3 linked regions of the Alligator mississippiensis genome follow. The protein of the gene in region 1 purifies or fractionates together with the protein of each later gene. This does not show direct contact. Links are inferred from orthologs where the notes say so. Each region holds a gene or a part of one and is shown on either strand. Other genes may lie near its edges.

What was found.
Region 2: the proteins of KDR (region 1) and PTPN6 purify together in Homo sapiens (affinity purification with western blotting; 3 studies listed by BioGRID and IntAct, with this or other methods). This does not show direct contact. The link is inferred for Alligator mississippiensis from reciprocal best matches to the Homo sapiens genes KDR and PTPN6.
Region 3: the proteins of KDR (region 1) and CDH5 purify together in Homo sapiens (affinity purification with western blotting; 3 studies listed by BioGRID and IntAct, with this or other methods). This does not show direct contact. The link is inferred for Alligator mississippiensis from reciprocal best matches to the Homo sapiens genes KDR and CDH5.

What each region holds. Positions count from the first base shown.
Region 1 is NC_081825.1:60,199,077-60,206,296, reverse strand, and holds the start of KDR (vascular endothelial growth factor receptor 2), read left to right. Parts: upstream 1-4,150; 5' UTR 4,151-4,217; coding exon 4,218-4,281; intron 4,282-6,507; coding exon 6,508-6,586; intron 6,587-6,708; coding exon 6,709-6,905; intron 6,906-7,220. UniProt on the Homo sapiens protein: Tyrosine-protein kinase that acts as a cell-surface receptor for VEGFA, VEGFC and VEGFD. Plays an essential role in the regulation of angiogenesis, vascular development, vascular permeability, and embryonic hematopoiesis.
Region 2 is NC_081824.1:244,116,621-244,124,706, forward strand, and holds the start of PTPN6 (tyrosine-protein phosphatase non-receptor type 6), read left to right. Parts: upstream 1-5,060; 5' UTR 5,061-8,046; intron 8,047-8,086. Other genes in the region: ATN1 (atrophin-1), read left to right, coding at 1-16; C1H12orf57 (protein C10), read left to right, coding at 1,499-1,643, 1,891-2,004, 2,098-2,274, 2,411-2,559. UniProt on the Homo sapiens protein: Tyrosine phosphatase enzyme that plays important roles in controlling immune signaling pathways and fundamental physiological processes such as hematopoiesis.
Region 3 is NC_081833.1:63,086,188-63,093,173, reverse strand, and holds the start of CDH5 (cadherin-5), read left to right. Parts: upstream 1-3,970; 5' UTR 3,971-4,153; intron 4,154-6,986. UniProt on the Homo sapiens protein: Cadherins are calcium-dependent cell adhesion proteins. They preferentially interact with themselves in a homophilic manner in connecting cells; cadherins may thus contribute to the sorting of heterogeneous cell types.

The sequences.
Region 1 (7,220 bases):
AAGCTATAACTTGTAATCATTATCTTAATGAGTCCTATTTGGGAGATTGATTGAAAGAAACACACAAGGAAATAAGAGAGAGAGTGAGCAGTGTTAGTCTGAAGTCAGGCAGCACGCAGGGCAGGGTGGCACCTTAGAGCACCTATGCATATGCCCGATGCCTGCTCCAACGCGTGCTAATTAGCACATTCCAGCAACCTTGGCATCCCACGTATTCTGTGTCCCTGCACTTCAAAATGGTGGTGGGAACACTTTAACTAAAGCTCGTTAAATGCACTATTTTGAAGTGCAGGATGCTGACTACACGAGACGCGGTGGGTGCTTTAATTAGAGTGGCTCCTGAGAGCCGCTCTAATTAAAGCACCCCCCACTCCCACCCTGGAGCACATGTAAAGGTGCCGTTAGAGATTAACTTGTTTAGAAATGCATAAGCTTCTGTAGGCCAACAGAAAAGCTTATGCATTTTGGAATGTGTTAGTTTCTAAGGGCTTAGTTACATGTTACCCTTACAATGTACTAAAGGCACTTAAAATGTGAGTGTGGGAGTGTTAAAGAAGGAAAACTGGTGCTAAGTGCAACCCTGCCCTGCCCACTGCCTGACTTCAGACAAACACTAGTAACTACCTCTCTTTTGTTTCTTGTGTCTATTTCTTTAAATCAATCCACCCAAGTAAGATTCATTAAGATACTGATACAGAAAGAAAAAGCAATGCTTATTTACGCGAATGCTGTGTGCCCCCGGAGCAGGCTACAGTGGCACTGTCAGCAGCAGGAGCATGGTGGTGGCAAGTGGGGAGCTCCCACAGGCAGTCGCAGCACTGTCGGTGGCAGGTGAGGGTGGCAAGCACCGACCAGCAGTTGGCGACCACCCTCAGATGCTGCTGCTGGTGGTGGTGGCAGCCAGCGGTGATCATGGACCACCTGCAGACACTGCCGGCGGTGTCGGTGGTAAGGGGGGGCAGGGTGGCGAGTGGTGACCCCCTACAGGTGCTGCCAGCAGTGACTGCCGTGCCTTTTTGCAGGGGGTGCACTGTGATACTGGGGGGGGGGGGGAGGGTGCATGTGCACCTGCTTATACACCCTACGCTTCGCCAATGCTTATTTACAGCAGTCTCTGGTTATGATCAAACTACATTTTAATTTGAATGGTCATTTGGATGAAAGTTCAATTAGCACCACTGATTGACTTCCATTTTCCTTGTGAGCTTGAATGAATTGAATTGAGCGGGAGTTGTGCTCTTAAGTCAACTATATGCTTATGAAAATCTCACCCTCTATCTTTGCTTTACTGTTTATGAAGAAATAAATATGAAAAACACATGCTTATGCATGTGACCATCATTAAAGGCAAGAAACACCTAAACAGGTGTGCTTCCTACATTGCAGCATCTAAGAAGTAAGCCTGAAAGTTATTGTGTTCTAGAGACAAACTATCAGACCCAATATTCTTTGTGACTCCAAGTTGTTCTAGAGAGAAATTAGTAGCTGTCACTCACTTTAACCATCAGGAATTTATGCCCTCATGCCCAACAGAAGTTCAGTCATGGCTCTTCCATTCCCACCTATCTTCTCTGGTGATATGTCTTGTTACCCCCAAATGCCTGAACCTCCCAGATCCTTCCAGCCTATGCATGAATTAAGGGCATTTTTTTAAAATTGCCCTTACTCTTCCGTGTAACTGCACACTATAAATCACAATCTAGCCCAGAGGTTCTCAACCTTTTTGGAGTGGATGCTCCCCTCACTGGGCTTAAGTCATCCCTCATTGGACTTGGGGAACCCCTCCATAACTTGTGTGAATTGTGTGGCAGCCAATTTCAAAAACTAATTTGTATATTACAGTCCTTACTTCTTTGCAGAGTGGCCAGACAGTAGGGGTGGGGGATCCGCCAGGCAAGAACAAGCTTGAGCCTGCACTTATCCGCTTATCTCCTCACTCCTCAGGGCACCCTTCAAAGGATTTGGTGGCACCCCAGGGTACCCCAGCACTCTGAGCATCACTGATCTAGACCAAAGTTAGCAAAGGAGATTCTTTAGCTATCCATAGGATCAATGGTTCCTGCTAGGTTTTGATTACTAGTTTGTGAATATAAACTTGTTTGCTAACCAATTTCAGCAATGGACAATTATTTTGCAGTTGAACCCAGAGTTCTAAGAATCACTCAGCATTGCTATTGATTCCACACATGTAATACTGGAAATGTTTTAATGAGGCCTGAACATTTTTTGGCCTTAAATAATAAAATGTTGTCAGGGGTAGGGCAACAGTGCACTCTTGTCTGAGTGTGGCTCACTGCACTCTTTTTGATGCAAGAGATTCTTTTAGGTGTAATACAGTTTATTGGAACTTTGGGAAAAAATCAAATTAGAAACTTAGCTTTTCTCACTCTCGCTAGAATTCTGTCAGCAGGAGGGATGCAATTTCAGTGGAAATTGTATCAGTCCCCCAGTACAGTGGAAGAGCTGAAATTGCACAGCACTCAAAGTAAAATTACAGACTCATTGACTAATTCATTTGTGGATAGAATCTTATGCAGATTCATTAGTATATCAACCAGAGCAAATTATGCACAACTAAAATTTATTTGTATGAATGCTTCTATTTCTCTAAAGGAGGATATTTCATAAAACTTCTGCCAACACTTATGTATCAACTACAGTAATCTTAAAAAAAACCCTTTTAATTAAGAAAGTAACATTCTATTCTTATACTTTATTTCTGGAGAGGAACCTACTGTCTGGAGCCTGTTTACATCACCCTGGTCTTATTAGATCAGTAATTACAACCAAATCCTGCAGGTGTTACTCTGATCATATCAATAGCATTGTTGCCTGAATAAATAGACCTGGATCTAGCCATTAGTAAGAAGAGGGTAAAATGTTCAATCTTACAGGAAATGACTTTATCATGGGGGACCAGGATTCAGGTAACTGAATCATAAGGGCTGTACTAGGCACATAGGGGTAATATATGAATTATATCAGATCTAAGGATATAGATGTTGCCATATACAGTCAGTGATCTAGTATCTGGGCACCTGGACCAGCTTGAGATAAGCTACATCCAGCTTACTGTATATGAACAAGGCCACCATGTGAATGCGTCAGAGCTCTTTGGGGAATTTTTGTTGAGGATTAGGTACAAGATTTTACCAAAACATGACTAGAGATTTTAAGCACCTCCATTTTTGTGGAGCCAATCAGAAATGCTCTTTTAGGTGGCAATGATTTTCAGAAAATCATGTGCATTCATCCTCTGAGGATCAAGACTCCTAAGGTGCCTCAAGCTTACACAGATTAAACTAGGAAGTTTCTTATCACAAAATACTGCCCTCTTCCTTGGGGATTTCCCAAAGTTTTGGCAGATTCCATGCACTTTCTTTAATATGAAATTATATCGGTCTTGAGAAGCAATTTCTACGACTTGCTGTTTTCCAGTTGACAGCCACATCTAACCAGCGAGTGAATTTCCCCAGAAGAATCTGTGAAGAAAATGTAGTGTATTCTTGGATTTTGCCGAGAAACTGTGGTACAAAGGATATGTTCTGTTTCCGATTGCTCCTGTCCTGGGCTCGTGGGATCATCAGAGACCTTCTTCTCATAGGGAGGCTCAGCAGCCTTCACCAACGAGCATCATTGCCCTTTGCGTTTGTTTACCGATACAAGTGCTTCCCGCCCATTTGGGAGCAAGGCAGCCCTCATTTGAATGAAGGCAGCCCTGGGACCGTGCCAGCTCCCAGCCTTCACTCTTTTTTTTTTTTGGACTACGGAAAAAAAAGGGAGCAATTCTGCTGCCAAGACCCCCGGAAGACACCTACGGGCCAGAATGGCGTTAACACTGTTTACAATTTTCACGTCAATCCTGCTTGCACACCCAACGCTGCGTGGCACCCCTGCAAGGAGCTCAGGTCACCCCTGGTTGAGAATCACTGCCCTACACCCTGCCCTGCCCCAGCCTGATCCGGCCAAATCACCAATAACCCCCTCTTCTCCGCTGCGGCCAGAGGCTGAGGCAGATCTCCGGCCAGAGGAAGGGCTGCAGGGCTCAGCACCCCCTGGCGCCCAGCGGGAGGGCGGGGCCTCGGCGGGCTAGGCCCCGCCCCGTATATAAAATAGCGGCGCTGCGGGCGGCGCGCGGGCAGTGGCGGCCTCGCAGGTGCGCAAGGCGGGTGGTGCGCGTCGGCCCCGAATTGCAGCGGCGGCAGCAGCGGCAGACGATGGAGCCCAGGCTGGCGTTGGCGCTGGTGCTGTGGCTCGGCATGGGCTCCCGCCTGGCTCCAGGTAGGGGCAGGGGCAGGGGCAGGGGCAGGGGCAGGGGCAGGGGCAAGGGCAGGAGACGAGCGGCAGCGATCGGCCCTGCCCCGAGGCGTGGGTGGGGAAGGGTGATGGCATGGGGCAGGGCAGAGCGAGCGCAGCCCCTCAGTGCCGAGAGCAGCCCCCGCAGCCCCAGAGCAGTAAGGTGGGTCCCCGGCTGGAGAAAAGTTTCCGAAGGGCTCGGTCAGACCCTGTGCCACAGAGCGGGGCAGCAGGGCTTCCCCCCGGTCCTTTCTCACTTGCAGCCTCCGGCACCTCTCGGAGTTCTGGCTGCGGGGCTGTGCCCGCACCCCACGCTCAGTCGCCCGATGCTCCGTTCCTCCCAGAACGTGTCCGATCCCTTTGCGGATCTGGCTGACCTGTCAGCGTCCCCCACGCCTGGTGGCAAGGAGCTCCACACCGGGGTGGCCGGCTGTGTGTGGATGGGACAAATGCACCGCACCTGTTTGGCTCAAAGATAAACGTTTTGAGCAGACAGACATTGCAAAGGGTGCACACATTAGTCTAAGGCCAGTACTTGCACGATTACTTGAGAAGTCATGCCTTTGAGTTGTTCTTCAAGCTTTACCACCACCGTGGGGTTTCTTAATGGCTACGTATGTGATCACGCCCGTTTCAACTGTCTCTTCTCCCTTGAGGTGCAAATGCTGCATTCAGTAGCTTAACACCAATGATCATCTAGGTAGTGGTTGGTTGTAGTTTGGCTATAGATCAGCATCACTAGCTCAATTCAGCTAGTAAATACTGATGGAGAAGTGTCTTAGTGTCTTGGCAGAGTAGGTTCTTTGTGTAAATGTGGTATCTTTTATTAGACCAACTAAATATTTGGAAAAATTGTTCTTTGCAAGCTTTCAGGCTCCAACACCCTTCTTCAGGCATAGGAAGAGTCTGCTGGTGCTGTATGTTCTCTGTGGTGAAAAAGAAGCCCCCGGTAACCCCTTTCCCTCCCACCCTCAAATCCACCCCTTCCAGAGGTTTGATGCTCTGCTATTTATTTCTATAACAGCTCTCCTTGAAGCCACTGGGGACTGCAGATGTGCATCTGAGGGCAGGGTTTGGCCTGGGCTCGTTTGTTTGCGATTACCTGGCAAATGGGATAGATGTAACATTAGTGCTGATGCTTATGATGAGGAAAAATAACTGCATGATACTTTACAAGAGAAAGCAAGCCAGCTTGTATCTCTAGTAGTGATGGTTTTCTAGAAGAAAGTGAAAATATGTGAAACTGGCAATGGAGAAGGCAGGGTTTGATCAGATTATAATAGAAATTCTGGGAAAATATTGTACATTACAGACATAGGCTTACCTTATTGTTACTAATACTAATCTAGTTGCCACTCATCTGAGCTGTGTCTTGTTAGACTTATTTTCTCTTTAGACAGCCCTTACCAAGAGAGAATTCCCAATAGGAGGGAGTATCGGAACCAGTGCTAGAAAGGTCTCTTTCTGTGCTATTTACAATGTTGCGCAAACTGCCTCACCAAACAGTTATCTAAGACTGAAGTGGAACTGATTTTGCAGCCCCTGTGACACAAGGATTCCCACTAAACACAATGGACACAATGGAACCACTCTCACAAATAAAATAGGAATAATTTTTCCCACGACAAAGGAAAAAGTGAGCAAGGAAAACAACAATAGCTCATATGACCTTGTGCATATGATGCATTCATAGAACCATAGAATCATAGAAAATTAGGGCCGGAAGGGACCTCAGATGGTCATATAGTCCAACCCCCTGCTCAAAGAAGGATCATCATTGCACAAAATGATTCCTGTTAGTATTTATTAATCAGCAGCCGTGGCAAATGTATACGTTCAGTTTATTGCAAGTAAAGTTGGTAGGCTTTTTCCCAAGGGAGTGAGATCATCAGATGAAGGTTCACTTTTTTTCAATGTCCCATATCCTCTTGTTAGACCTTGAAGTTGGCAATGCAAGAAAACAGGAACTCCACCCTAGCTTTATGAATTGTAGTGCTATTCTGCTAGCTCATGACCATCTGCCTATTCTTCCTGTTATGACAGATCTTGAACTTACTGGGATATGTGAAAAGTGATTATTTGCCTGCCACAGGTTAACACATTATGTAAAGGTGTTCACTTAAAATAGCCTATATGTACACTTTTATATTGTGCTTTTTCTTATCGAGTCTCACTGGCTTTTGGCTCATTCGTTTATTGATATTTCTGCAGGCCTGGATCAGCCAACCCTTAGCATCCAAAAAGATATCCTTACAGTAACTGCAAATGATACATTAAAAATTACTTGCAGGTAAGCTGATTTTCATTGTGTTAAAAGGGGCTATTTAAAGACTGTGGGACTGAATTTTACTGACATGGAGCAACTCCATAGCCAGTCTTGTCCTAATACTTCTCTGTAATTTGTTTTCCTAGTGGTCAAAGAACTGTGGAATGGTTTTGGCCTAACAATCAGAGCAGTTCTGAGAAACGTGTCACGGTGACAAACTGCGATGACAGCCTCTATTGTAAGATGCTCACTCTGACAAAAGTAATAAGTAATGACACTGGGGCCTACAAGTGCATTTACAAAGACAACCAGGCAAGCACCAGCATTTATGTCTATGTTCAAGGTAAGTGGTTAAAAGATTTCTACCTATTGGTAAGATAAAAAAGAAATGGAAGAGAGGTGTCTAGCTTTTCAGGCAGCTTTGCTCTGATTTAATATTCACTGCTTTGATCACAGTAAGGAAACATACTTGACAGATATGCATAAAAAATAGCATGTTAAGACTTTCAGCTTTAAAAGAAAGTAGGAGTCTCTGCACTTTCTTCTAAGGTTTCAAGAAAAATAAAAACACAAATATCTATCCATTTTTAATGGACAAATCATACATTCATTTTGTTTGTGGATTTTCTTAACATACAGATATTGTCAGTGGTTACAA
Region 2 (8,086 bases), on another chromosome or scaffold:
CTGTTCAGCACAGTGAAAGAGAAGGAAGGATGGAAAGAACAAGATGACCATCCTGGGAGCAGAGAGGAGGGGAGAGAAGTGGGGAGGGAGTGAGATGCCTAAAAAATGTTTGGAACCATGGCATGACTTCAAGAGGGGCACTGAGAAAGACAAAGTTAATGTGACAGAGAGCTTGAAGTACAAGGAATTGTGGGGATTCAAAATGGCTGCTGTTCCAGAATCTCTTTTGAGAGAGTGGTTGTACCTAATAAAAAAAACAAAAGTATGAAGTATGATGGGACCTTTCTATACGTGGTGGTAGCCTTTTCTGCTTCCCTGCATGAGCAGATATGGCCAAGAGGCAGACCCTCAGAACCTGATGTGAACTTTTTTTCAAAATGCCTCCCACCCTGCTATTTTGGATGTGAGATATGGCCTAGAGATGCAAAGCATCATGGGACTTTTGGAAACTGGCCAATGTGGCTTCCTACTCTCCGAACCCACTTTGGGAATGAACATGGCAAAGAGACGCAAAGCACTATTGGAACTCTTCAAATGGCCACTTCTACTTTCCCACCCAACCCCTGAGGGACTGGCCTGGCTATGAGGTGCAAAGCACCATGGGACTGTTTTCAAGATGGTGGCTGTGTTTTCCCCCACCTCAAGGGAACAGGTATGGCCAGCAGGTGCAAAGCACCATGGGACTGTGTTCAAGATGGTGGCTGCCTCTTTCCCCTCTCTTATTCCAGTTGATGTACTTTTAATCCATGCACATCCCATTAGACGTGGCAGTTTTGCGTAGCAATGTGTGACTTCCCAGTCCCCACGTGCGTGTCTGATCTCACAGTTGTATATCTCTGTCTGTGTGAGTGTGTGTGTGTATATGTACGTGTGTGTGTATATATATGTACACACATACACACCCACACATTATATATATCCGCACACACACATGCATATATATATATATATATAAATATATATATATATATTTACTTAAAACATTAAAAAGAGAAAAGGAAAAACAAGAAAGAGAGCTCTGGGGAAACACCCCAATGAAGTCCTCCATGCGCTCAGAACCCCGAACACACATTCTAATAATTTATATATAAAATATATATATGAAGCTCTTACAAACAAAATGAAACCCTTCCAGAAACGGACTCTGTGGTTTTCATTTAAGTGCCTGGGGGCCCTGGCAGCAAGCGAGGCACGCAGAGGCATGAAGGGCAGTGCCCCCTCTGCCCTGCCTGGCAGGAGGTGGAGTGAGCTGGTGATGAGGCACAGAGCCCCCTGTGGCGCCCTCCCCAGCACTAGGCCCGTGCTATTGATGGGGGCGCGTGAGTCCCCAGCTGCAAGGCCAGGCCAGAGAGGCCAGGAGCGTGCACCGCCGCACCTGGACTGGGAGGTAGGGGCAGGGGGCGGGGCCTCCAGCCAGTGCTGCCGAAACCTGCAGGGCGCGGACAGGCCGGGGGTGGAGCTTCGGGCCCCTGCTCCAATGGGAAGGCGGCTCATTTGCATGCCGGCGAACTCGCCCGAGCGCGGGCTGGAAGCCGAGCGCCGCGGCGCCAGCGAGGCGGGGGGGCGCGGGGAGCCGCCGCGGCGCTGCGGACATTTCCCGGGAGCGGCGGCTGCGTTTCAGGAGCCTTCCGCGAACCTGCGGAGTGGGTTTGCGACTCACAGCCGGAGTCACCCTAACCTGGGCGATACTCGGGCTGGGTGGGGGGTTCGGGGGGTTGTACACACTGGGCAGTGATTTCAGCTCTTTTAGTATTTGTCCAGCAGTCCCTCGCGTAGCGAGGGGCCCCAGCGCGTACAAAGGTAGTGGATTTTGGGAGGGGTTACGGCGCGGGGGCTTTATTGATCCGAGCGCTGTGCTCCGACCTGGCAGTGGCTCCTCCGCCCCTGCAGGCGGCGGTAGGTGCCTGAGGAGCCCGCGCCCTGCCTGCATGTCCAGCCTGCAGCGCCCCATGGCGGCCTCGGGCCCGGCCTCGGCGGCGCCGCTGAGCGCGGAGCAAGCCAAAGGTGAGCATCTCCCGTCCCCTCGCTCGGGGGCGGGCAGTGGCGGCGGGGCTGCTGGGTGCCGAGCCGCCCCCCACGCCTGTGCCCTGCCCGCAGTGGTGCTGGCCGAGGTGCTCAAGGCGTTCGGCGCCCCGGAGAACGCGCAGCGCCTGGATGAGGCGCGGGACAATGCCTGCAACGACATGGGCAAGATGCTGCAGTTCCTGCTGCCCGTGGCCACGCAGATCCAGCAGGACGTCATCAAAGCCTACGGCTTCAGCAGCGACGGGGAAGGTGGGGTCAGCCCCTGCCCGCTATCCCGCGTCACCAGGGGCACCCGGCTGCCGCTGGGCCTGGTGAATGGCGGCCTGGCAGAGGGCTGGCCCCTCAGCTCTGTCTCCCCCCACCCCCTTCTCTCTCTGTCTCTCAGGGGTCCTGAAGTTTGCCCGGCTGATAAAATCCTATGAATCTCAGGACCCAGAGATCGCCAGCATGTCTGGGAAGCTGAAAGCCATGTTCCTGCCACCCATGACGCTGCCTCCGCATGGGTCGGGGACAGGTGGGGTGGCAGCCTCATGAAGCTGGGACCCTGTCCAGCTCCAGCTGAGTATGAGGGCACTGGCTCCTGGCATCCCGGTCGGGCTGCGGTTGTCCAGCTGCAGGTGGGGCCCCAGGAGCCCCCAGTGCCTCGGAAGCTCAGAAGCTTCTTTGTGTGTCTGCGGCGTTGTGTTTTACGTGCCTGCATGAGACAGTGTGCTGCTTCTGCTTGTGAATAAAAGTTGTTTTAAGAGTGGTCCCATTGAGTCCCAGGGCTGTGTCCTAAGCTGTTTCCAATGGGTGATGATGAGGCAGAAGGGAGGTTTGCTTTCCTGCTCCTCCCTCAGCAGTCCTGCCCTGCTGTAGCTCTGCTGTGAGGGCATTCTGCCTGAGCCTGGTCCCAGGAAATGGAGAGGAGACAGCTCCCCCCCACGGTACAACCCTTCTGCCTGGGAGTAAAGACTTGGTACCTGGTGACTTTTGAAATAGAGTGCTATGGCTGCAGCACAAGGAATGCTTTTGTTCTGAGGGTAGAGCCAAGTGAAACCATTCAGGGGTGGAACAAGAAGTTCAGGGCTACGCGCCTAACCCCAGCCTGTCAAAGGGAAGGTGTGGGCACTGCAGCTCTGTATAGGCTAGGTTGTGTTAGAAGCAAATTAATAATCACTTAGCTATTTAACATGCTAGTGCAGACAGCACTTAACACAGTAAAGTGACACTATTGCTGAACGCAAGCGTTGAATGTGGTTCTAAATGTGTTAAGTTTCATAGATTTCATAGACATTAGGGCTGGAAGGGACCTCGGAAGATCATTGAGTCCAGCCCCCTGCCCAAAGGGCAGGAAGTCAGCTGGGGTCATAGGATCCCAGCAAGATAAGCATCCAGTTTGCTCTTGAAGGTGTTCAATGTAGGCGTTTGAACCACCTCCGGTGGCAGGCTGTTCCAGACCTTGGGGGCTTGGACAGTAAAGAAATTCTTCCTTATGTCCAGCCTGAAACGGTCTTGTAGTAGTTTATGACCGTTCAACCTAGTCGTCATCCCTTGGGGCGCTCTGGTGAACAAACGTTCCCCCACATACTGGTGGTCACTCCTGATAAACTTATAGGTGGCCATCAGATCACCTCTGAGCCTGCGCTTTTCCAGGCTAAAGAGCCCCAGGGCTCTCAGCCTGTCATCGTAGGGTCTGCTTCCCTGACCTCCGATCATGCGCGTGGCTGTTCTCTGGACTCTCTCAAGCTTCTCCACATCCTTTTTGAATTGTGGAGCCCAAAACTGGACGCAGTACTCCAGCTGTGGTCTCACTAAGGCCGAGTACAAGGGGAGAATGACATCCTGGGATTTGCTTGAGAAGCATCTATGGATGCAAGCCAGTGTTTTGGTCGCTTTACTAGCTGCAGCATCGCACTGCAGGCTCATGTTCATCTTGTGGTCAATGATGACCCCCAAGTCTCTTTCTTGCATAGTGTTAGCTAACATAGCACTGCCGAGCCTATAAGGATGCTACGGATTTTTCTTCCCAAGGTGGAGAACCTTGCATTTATCGGCGTTGAACACCATCAGATTCTCGTCCGCCCAGGTTTGACCTCATGAGATTCCCTTCCAGCCCTACTTTCTAATAAGATTCTAATGTGCCAGCAATGCAGAAGCATAAGATTACTAGGTGTAAATGACTGCAACTCAAAGTACTTTTCTGACCCTCATTTCAGGCTATTGCCACACAGCCATTACACCAGGGCCCAATCAAGTTTGGGCTGGCCAGATACACAGCAGCCAGGGCCTGCATGCCACACAGTTTGCAGGCCCTGGGCTGCACACCATACAGGCAGCATGCCCTGGGGGCCATGTGGGCACCTTGGGACCCCTGCCACATGAGCAATGCAAGTCTCCAGCTACTGCTGTGCCAGCTGCTCTGCTGCTGCCACCACATGGGCAAGAACCTCTGCCCCACAGCAGGGAATTCCCCCTTGCCAGAATCCAGCAGGCAGCATACTCCTTGCCATGCTGCCCTGCCCCAGAGAGTCCCACCAGCGTGGGAGGCATGTTAACCTCTCATGGGCCATCAACTGGACAGCTCTGTGCTGTTATGTTTCTTTAAAAGGTTAAAAGATCTAAAACTATGTTAGTTCAAATGTGTTGGTTAGAAGCTTCCTGAACTCAATTTATTCTTGTAACCTTTGCCCATGTTACAGGGGTCCACTGGCAGTGCACTGATGCCTACAGGGTAGCAGAAGATCTTATGCTGTAGCCAATGTTACCCTGCTGACATAGCCCTGGCATAGAGACAGAAGGCTGGGTGCAGAGGCGCTTAGTCCTGGTGGCCAGAAAAACTCCTGCAAGCAAAGCTGTATCTACACTAGGGGACCCTGTTGTTTTGTAGCTGCTGCTATACTTAATGTGTAGATCACGCCCTGGTGTAATGGCTAATGTGTGGCAATAGCCTGAAATGAGGGACAGAAAAGTACTTTGAGTTGCAATCGTTTACACCTAGTAATCTTATTCTTCTGCATTGCTGGCACATTAGAATCATATTAGAAAGTAGGGCTGGAAGGGAATCTCATGAGGTCATCTAATCCAGCCCCTTGCTCAAGGCAGGATCATCCTTGACTAAACATCCCAGCCAAGTGTCCATCTAACCTCTTAAAAATTTCCAGGGATGAAGATTCCACCGTTTCTCTAGGTAGCCTGTTACAATGCTTGACTACCCTCATAGTCAGAAAGTTCCTCCTCATCTTCAACCTAAATTTCCTCTGCTGCAGTTTGAGGTCTTTGCTCCTAGTTCTGTCCCCTACAGCCATAAAAAAGTCCATTGCCAGCCTTGTTAGGATCCCCTGTCAGGTATTTGAAGAATGTTATCAACCGCTCCCCTCACCCTTGACCCACAGTCTTCTCTTCTCCAGACTAAATAACCCTAACTCTTTCAGCCTTCCCTTATAAGGGCCTTGCCACACCTTATGGTGAGAGCTACACAAAGGTTGATCAGCATTAGTGCTAGCCTGGAGCTGTGACAAGAGGCCTGGTGAGCAGGGGCAGGACTAGGAGCTGTAGCTGTGAGCTGCCACAAGAGGGCTTGTGAGCCAGGGTAGGATTTTAATTCTGCTGTATGGGTAGGGGTATGAGAGATCCTGGGATACTGGAGGACTTCAGTTTGGGCAGCACATCTGTGGAGAGTGGCCACACCTTCATGGAACATTAATCCCATGAGGTTCAACAAGGACAAGTGCAAAGTCCTGCACTTTGGACAGAACAATCCCATTTACCAGCGCAGGCTGGGGGCTGACTGGCTGGGCAGCAGCTCTGCAGAAAAGGACCTGAGGGTTACAGTGGACAATAAGTTGAATATGAGCCAGCAGTGTGCCCTTGTTGCCAAGAAGGCTAACGACATACTGGGCTGCATTGGTAGGAGTGTTGCCAGTAGGTCAAGGGAAGTGTTTATTCCCCTCTATTCAGCACTGGTGAGGCTACAGCTGGAGTACTGTGTCCAGTTTTGGGCCCTCCACTACAGAAAGGACAAATTGGAGAGAGTGCAGCAGATAGAAACAAAAATGGTGAGGGGGCTGGGCACATGACTTATGAGGAAAGACTGGGGGAACTTGACTTATTTAGTTTAGAGGAGACTTAATAGCAGTCTTCAACTCCCTGAAGTAGGTTCAAAAGAGGATAGAGCTAGGCTGTTCTCAGCAGTGGCAGATAACAGAACAAGGAGCAACAGTCTCAAGTCACAACAATGATCACAGCAAGGGAAGTTTAGGTTAGATATTAGGAAGAATTTTCTCACTAGGAGGGTAGTAAAACACTGGAACAGGTTACCCAGAGAGGTGGTGGAAGCTCCATCCTTGGGAGTTTTAAAACCCGGCTAGACAAAGCCTTGGCTGGGATGATCTAGTTGGGGCTGGTCCTGCTTTGAGCAGGGAGTTGGACTAGGTGACCTTCTGAGGTCCCTTTCAACCTTCACCTTCTATGATTCTGTGATTCTAGGAGCTGGGTAGTGTGGATCAGAAATAATCCTGCCCTGGAGTGGCATAACTTTGAGCCACAAAACCGTGCTTAAAACCGCTTTAAGATGTTAACATGTGGGGACAACCCAGGGGTTAAGAGCTCCAGGAGCTGCCCAAATTACTGTGTAACAAGACCCTAAGTCATGTTTCTCAGGCCCTTGCTCATTTTTCTTATCCTGTGCTGCATGAACAATGCATGCTCCCCGTGGCGCGGGGGGGCACAGTGGCAGCAGCAGGAGCATGGCAGTGGTTAGCGGGAGAGCTCCTGCAGACGCTGCTGGTGCTGTCGGCAGTGGTGGCGGGGGAGGTGGCGAGTGCTGACCAGGGGTCGGCAACCACCCGCAGACGCCGCTGGCAGTGTTGGTGGCGGCCAGAGGGAATCACGGAGAGCTGCACCTTTTTGTAGGGGGTGCACCACCATGCTCAGGGGGTGCATGTGCATCTGTGTGCACCCCCTACGCATCACCCCTGCTGTGCTGGACTCTTTCTAAACTGTTCACATCTTTCTTGAAGCATTGGGCCCAGATCTAGAAGGCTTCAGCAGCACCAAACAGAACAGAGGAATCACTTCCCTTGATTTGCAAATAACACTCCTGTTAATACAACCTAGTAGGCTGTGATCTTTTTTGCAACAAGGGCACATCGTTGGCTCATGTTTAGTTTATAGTCCACTGTAACCCCCAGGCCCTTCTCAGCAGCACTGCAGTCTAGCCAGTCATTCCCCAGTCTGTATGTGCAATTATTCAGTCCAGTGGTGGCGCACACGGGGTGCACATGCACCCCCTGAGAGTGCTGGTGGACCCCCTGACAGGCCACATTCCCTGCTTAGGTGGCAGGCAGGGGGGCAGGTGGGAGCGCCAGTACCCCCCTGCAAGCACCACAGCCACTTCTGGGAGCACTTGATGAAGTGCCATGGCCACTCCTCCCCCCACCCCCGATGCCCCTAAGGTGGCACCAGTTGCCCATGATTCAGTCCTGGACACAGGACTTTGCACTTGTCCTTGCTGCATTTCATCTGATGTTGTTAATTTCCAACATTTAAAGTGAGGAAACAGCAAATGTCTTTGGACTCTTTTCAACCCTGGAATTCAAATGTGCACGTGAGCAGCTTTCAGTAGGGGTAGCTGCAGGTCAGGACTGGAGGCATAGGCAGAGCAGTGTTTGTGGAGGCCAGGACTGCAAGGGAAAAGAGTCAGAAGTCTGGTAAGTTCCCAGGTGATCAGAGCTATTCACTTTTGTTTTCTCTGCCTTTCAGTTACAAATAGTCAAGGAAGTACTTAGTGGAGAGGAAGCAGGAAGAGCAGATAGTTCCTCACCTCTTCACCTGCCCCCTCAGTTTAAGCCTGTTCTTCCCCTGCTCCCCATGCACCTCAATTATTCATTAACTACAAATCAGGAAGTGATTTACAGATGGTGGAAAGGAAGCCTCTTGCCCTGCACCTGCACCTGGCTGCCTGATCTTGGGTCTCCTCCTCCTGCTGCCCAACCCCCAACAACAGTGATCTATCCTCTGAGGACATCCAAGGCTGGTGAGGTAAGTTGATCACCAAGCCTTTCCTATCCAGATTAGAGGG
Region 3 (6,986 bases), on another chromosome or scaffold:
AGTATAATAAATTGACCTGTCAGGCCAGGCTTCTCTTGGTCTACTATCTGGTACCACGTAAACCAATACAGCCTGTTCTATGGCCAGGTTGTCGGCGACTAAACTGGCACCCCAACCTGGGCTAGTCTGGGTGAGGAGGGATGTGGACACCCAGCGAACTAAAAACAAGGCCTGTCAAAGGGCATGAGATCCCTGTGAGCCAAATGTCATCCATGCCTGGAGAGGAGATGAGCACCACCAGATCACTTTGCCCAAAGAATCACCGATGATGCAGAGCAACTCAACTAACCTCAGAGTGGAGGATGAGAGGAGACTCAGGCTGCGGCAGCAGCAATTTTATCCAGTGCTGGATGCAGCCTGTGCCCAGTGCCAGTCCCTGATGGGATAGGCAGCCTGAGCCTCCTTTCATCCGGCATGCAGATCCAAGGGCTCGGACCTCCGGGAGGAGGCTGGCACAGCCCAGCAGCCCTCCCAGGGGTGCAAGCCCCCGGATCTGCACCCCAGATGAAAGGAGGCTCAGGCTGCCTATCCCATCAGGGACTGGCACTGGGCACAGGCTGCATCCAGCACTGGATAAAATTGCTGCTGCCGCAGCCTTAGTCTCCTCTCATCCAGCACAGATCTGGGGGCTCGCACACCTGGAGTCCAGCACAGCCCTGTAGCCCTCCCAGGGCTGTGAGCCCCTGGATCTGCACCCCAGATGAGAGGAGGCTTCCCCTTCCACCTGGGACCGGTGCTGGGCAGCCTGAGTCTCTCCTCATTCAGCGTGAAGATCCGGGGGCTCGTACCCATGGGAAGAGTCTGGCACAGCCTGGCAGCCCTCCCGGGGGTGGAAGCCTCCAGATCTGCACCCCAGATGAGAGGAGGCTGCCCTGTCACCTGGGACCAGCGCTGGGTGCAGGCTGCACCCACCACCAGAGAAAATTGCTTCTGTCACTTGTCTGAGGAGGAAGGCAAACAAAGCCAGTGCTGTGCTCCATGGGGCTGGCAGAACAGATCAGAGCCCAGCAGCAGGAGGCAGGCAGAGTGGGGCTGGGCCCCGTGGGGCTGGCGGAGCCGACTGGTGCACAGCCTGGCAGTGGGAGGCGGGGAGAGCCGGCACTGCACTCTGATCAGGTCCGCCAGTTCCATGGAGCGCAGCCCAGTAGCAGGAGGTGGACAGAGCCAGTGCTGTGCTCCACCTCCCACTGCCAGGCTGAGCTCCATGGGGCTGGCAGAGCTGATCGGAGCATAGCCCAGCAGCGGGAGGTGGGCAGAGCCGGCGCTGCACTCCATTCAGCTCCGCAGCCCCACGGAACACAGTCCAGTGGTGGGAGGCGGGCAGAGCTGGGGCTGTGCTCTGTGGGGCTGGTGGAGCCAGCTGGTTCTGCCCACCTACCAGCGCCGAGCTGTACTCAATGGGGCTGGCTGAGCCGAGCAGAGCGCAACCCAGAGGTGGGAGGTGGGTAGAGCTGGCGCTGCCCTCTGGTCAGCTCCACCAGCCCCACGGAGCACAGCCCAGTGGTGGGAGGCAGAGAGAGCCAGGGCTGCGCTCCCCGCTGGGCTGAGCTACATGGGGTTGCGGAGCCGCTCGGAGCACAGCCCTGGCTCTCCCCTGCCTCCCACCACTGGGCTGCTTCGAAACTCGAAACATTTTGAAACTTGCAAAAGATTTTGAGTGCCTTCGTTTCATTTCAAAACTGTTTTGATGCTTTTTGTTTCATTTCAATTTCACTGTTTCAAGCTCAAAATGTGTCAAAACAGCTTCGAAACAAAACACTTGGCGAAATTTTGCACAGCCCTAGTTGTTACAGCATCTAAAGTGCCCCAATGATCCCAGTGGCCTCAAGACTGACTTGACAAAAAATTGGCTGATCCAAATCATGGATCTCAATGCTGCCTTTCAGACCTATTGTTCTAGTACATGCATGGGAAGAAAGACCTGGATGATCAAATCTAACTAACAACCAGGTTGTTACAATGGGACTCATTCATAGCCCATAAAGGCAAAGAAAAATCATTACACGCTTTATATCAGGCTCTAAGGTCCTTAAGTTGATAGAACAGCAATCCAACTGTATGCACTTGCAGAACTAAAGAGCACCATTGTAGAAGATGCATATATTTTTTAAATCAAGGAACATGAGCTCTCTTTTCTTTTCCCCATTCTTGGTTTAGGCTAGCTAACAAGCATGTTTTCTCCACAGATACCAAGATCAAAGGACGTCAGTAGTCAAACACACTTGAAATCATTTGCAAAAGTAAATGATATCTAGGATTGTTGTCTGCCCTGGGTACCAGCCTATCCTCCACAGATAACTACAGTTCACTGGGAACCTCCCAGCAATATCCTTTCCATTTCTCCCTCTTCTTTTTCCTCAGCAATGAAATAGGAGCGGCTTATTTTATTGCAAGGAAACTTAATTGTAATCAGTCTCCTTAAAAAAAGGTTTTGAAAAATGTCCCCTCATTAGTTGCTTAACCTTCCTGAATAATTAATGTATCAAAATTTTAAAACAGTCATTTGTCTTTGCTGCTGCATGTCATAAAAATGTGCAGTAATGTAACCAAAGCTCAGTCTTCTGGAAAGCTAGGAAATCAATCCCATTACCTGTGCTAAGTCATGATGAAGAATAGGGGTGAGAGTACTTAACTCTGGATCATTATTATTTAAAGCCTTCCGTAAGAAATGTCACCAAATGTGCAACATACATCACAATGTGGTGACAACACCTCAAAATTAGTTGGGTTTTGTTTTTTGGTTGTTTGGGGTTGTTGGGGTTTTTTTGTTTTTTGTTTTTTTGTTTGTTTGTTTGGGGGGGGGGGGGTTGACTCGTGTTTCTTAGACTTTCTCCTGAATTAGTCAATTTAAAATTTCCTCCTCCTTTAAACATACAAAATAGTGTATAGACATTCTTTGTTTTTAAGCTGCAGCAAAAGTAAAGCATGTTCTGCTGTTCAAAAGCAGGATCACAGCATTCTGCCTGAGCTGTAGGAAGGCCCATCTGCTTATCATGCTGAGCTCACTGGTCTATATCCTACCTTAAATTTCAAGAATTTCAACACTCATTGCAGTCACTGAGGCCAAAATTAAACCCTCATTGGTCTGCAATTAAACAGCAAATCAAGCTGGCTAGCATAACACAAGCTCTCCTCTTGGAACATTGATCTTTTCCCCTTTCCTCTCTCCCAAAAATTCCTCCACTTGAAAATTTCTAATACAATGAAGGCAATACATGTTATTCAGTGATTCTTCTCCTAAGATTTTTTGTTTGTGAATCTTGGGGCCCAACTCTCTACTGCCTTACATCTTGGGTCATCACTTCCACTTCTGGAATAGTCCATAAAATCTAAACAGTGTTTTGTCTACCATGCACAGGTTGGGATCATTACATAAAGTGCAAGGCAAAGAAGTTGGCACTGGGCTGGAGACTTGCAACCAATTTCTGTTCTCTGATTTGCTGAAGCCAGATCTATCAAATCTGTACAGCTGTTACCAAGACCAGCATGCGGCTCATCCCAGAATTTCAATATATCCCAGTCCTCTCACACTAGCAAAGATTGGCTCTTAAACTTTTTATAAGAACTCCTGTTTGATGGACTTTCAGCCTTTGTGGGTGGTGGAATAATCCTGGTGGAGAGACGAAAACACTCCCATCTGCCTGATGGGAAAACAAATCTGAAAATAAGCCGGAGACCATACTCTTCAAATAGTGAGAATAAAAATAAAAACAAGTGCTAAGTTAGGATTTTTAATAACCCCTAAAATGAAAATGATCAGTAAGAAAGATACTAAATAACAGCACTGGCTTTATATTACTCTTACAGGCCATTTCCTTTTATTCAGATATGTATTTGTTACACCCTCTGAAAGGCAAGTCTAGCAAAATGACTCTAAGTTTATCTTGTTTCCTCCACTCCCTTTTCTCACTGGCATTACTAAGGTTTGTAACAATAACAGGATGCAGGGATGCAGGATGGGAAAAGCTGACCCCCAGCTGGGAAACCTTGGAGACTGGAAAGCTGAACACTCCCAGTATTACCTAGTGAAATTAAATCCTGATTTTATATCTGTTCCTCACTCTCCGAGTGGTGCTCATGATTTCTGGATATTGTTCATTTCATGTTCTTAATTTGGGATAAAACTGAAGCTTCACCAACTCCTGGGGATCAGGTAAGGGACAGAGGATATTATTACTTTTAATTTCAAGAATTTTTCCTCCCAGATAGCTGACACTTTGGAACTGGCTTGAAGTTATTTGATGATTCTGAAGTTCATGTTCTGCATGTTAGATGTATTTAGAGCACCCTTGGGGCCCAGTATCGCTGGCAGAATAACTATTGACACCAATGGAGTTACTGCCAATTAACACTGAAGTGAGAGGAGAATCGGTTTCTCTACATCTGCATCTAATGGTCCCAGACTGTGAAGAATATTTAGACTCAAAGAAGTGATTCTTTTGGTTCAAAATGATCAAATTATGCTGCCAGTAGATGTTTTCAATAAAACAGAAAAACAGAAATCAATGCAACAAATTGCACTTGGGGACCCTTTAAGAAGGGATTCCAGTTGCATTACAGACAGCAATAGGCTTGATATTTTGTCATTGAACTAGAATACACGATGTTATATCTTGCTTTTTTTAGACATAAACATATTGGATGAAGGTTGCATAGGTCCTTGGCATTCTTTTTCTGTTCAAAATGAAATAGTGGAATTGTAGTACGGTTGGAGCTAAGAACCAAAGGATAGCACCTCTTATGTTCATTGGCTGCCACTAGGCAGATCTGTATGACAGGAGGTTCACTTTTAAAGACTTAGTGACATTTTCAAAAGCAGCTAAGTGACTTATGCTCCTAAGTCTTATTTTCAAAGTGAATCATGCATTTTAGGAGCCTGATCTCCACTAACTTTCAATGAAACTAAGGCACCTAATTGGTTTAGGCACTTTTGAAAATGTTACCTTGGATCATTCAAGTTGTATGACACTCATTTAACAACTAGGGGAAAAACCTCATAGATTTCTCTAGGAAACCTCTGGCTTTCAGCTGTCCAAATTTACCATGTTTTCTGGTAAGTTATTTCATGAAGAAAGCCGTGACACAAGACATCAGTTGAAAGGGTTTTTATGCTGCCATAAGCATATAATGTTTTACACAGGAGATCCCTTGACTAACAAGTTTGCAAAGACAAATGTTTATGAATAAGAGATGAATAAATGCATCTTTTTGGGTTGAAATTATAGTCCATGCGTCAGGAGATATAGTGCCTTACTGTGCTGTGTTTAATGCTGTATAAAGAAAAGGAAAAAATGAAGGCTTCAGGAAAAAGACAGAATAGGTTGAACTTTTGTGAGAAAACCTGAAGAAGTCTCAGCTATTCAAAGCATTGAAGTTGGCTGCTACTGAAGTTAACTTAAGTAGGATTATTTGATTCATTTCTGCCTCTTCTGATTATAACTGCTGATATTATAGTAGTTGTTATTTACATTTATAAAAGCACCTACCCTGTGATTCCTTGTGGGGAAAATTTAGGAAAATCTATTAACAGAAGCAACTCAAGATATATACAAAATCTTAACATGTTAATTAATACTATGAATCAAAACAACTAATACGGCAATACAAATGCTTGCTTTAAAAAGGTTTGGTATCTTTAAGGGTGGCTTTGAATCCTGAAACAAGGGGCAAACTAAAGAAGAAAAGGACATAAGGCTAGGTTTCTTCTGTTTCCGTTCCCCACAACCTACTGAGAACAGTCAAAGAGGTTGCATGCAATAAAACAAATGAACTGGAATACAAAAAATAAACTCTCAGTACTCTGATGCTAATCTGAGCTCTGTATGGAGTGCTCAGATTTATTTGGCTTTGGAAATGTAACTGCACTGCAAACTGAAATATTTTTCAGCTGATGCTTTCCATTTTATAACAATAGTACTTCAACATTATGTTAAAACCTTCATTTCAATATTTAAAATGCAAATTGAGTCACAACAGATCTATTTCATTGAATAATCTGGATATTTTGTATAGGAACAAAAGCTAGGTTCAATACCCAAGGAGAAGTAGATGCAGAGAAATTTTCATTTAAATAGTTAATAGCTTTGAAAAATATTTGCCAAAAGAACATGCCTGTCTCATATCCTGCTTTTGTTGAGAGGAATAGAGCAGCTCAAAACAGGATATAAGTACATGGATTTGTATACTTTCTATCTCAGAAGCTCATCTGGTTTATAGCCCTTACCAAGATAGACTATAAGAATATAAATTAATATTCAAAAGAGAATACTTTCCCTTTTCAAAAGAAAAAGAGAGAAAAAAATCATAGAAATACCTTTTGTTGTCAGGTTACTTATCTAAAACACTTAAAGCAAGCAGATAGTGCATTATTTTTGTGGAAGGGAAAGCCTATTAATGTTTAGTTATGACATATTTTAAAAGTGATTAATCAATATGATTACTGTAGCCATCTTTTCATCATTTTGGTTTCTAGAAATTTATTTCAGAAAGGTCCAAATTGTAATGGCAAGCAGGAAAAGAAAAAAAATCTCTCCTGCTAACTTCATGAGATATCTGTGTTAAGTGGGAATATTTCAAGCTGGGTAAAAAACATAAGATTGACAGGGTACTTTCCATTCTTCTTTCCTGGATGTTTAAAATGAGATGAGCCCTAATAGTTTATCACACAACGCATGCTGGGATGATTAGTTTTCTTCCTGCACTATTATGTGTCAGAAACTGGTTATTTGTACAAATTGGAGATTTGCCAAGCTACAGAGGGGGAAGATTTGTAAAGGCACAAAAAGACACTCAGAAACCCAATTCACATCAACTCAAAGTGGCAGTTGGGCTCTTACCTCCCACTGATGCCTTTGAAAAAGTCCCTCCAGAATCAGACTTGTATGTGAATATCAAAAACACCCTGCTTAGGTCTAGACCCCAAATTTAGTTTGGCTCACTACTAAGAGAAGAGGGTGTTTGCTCAGCGCTGCTGTACAATCAGGTTA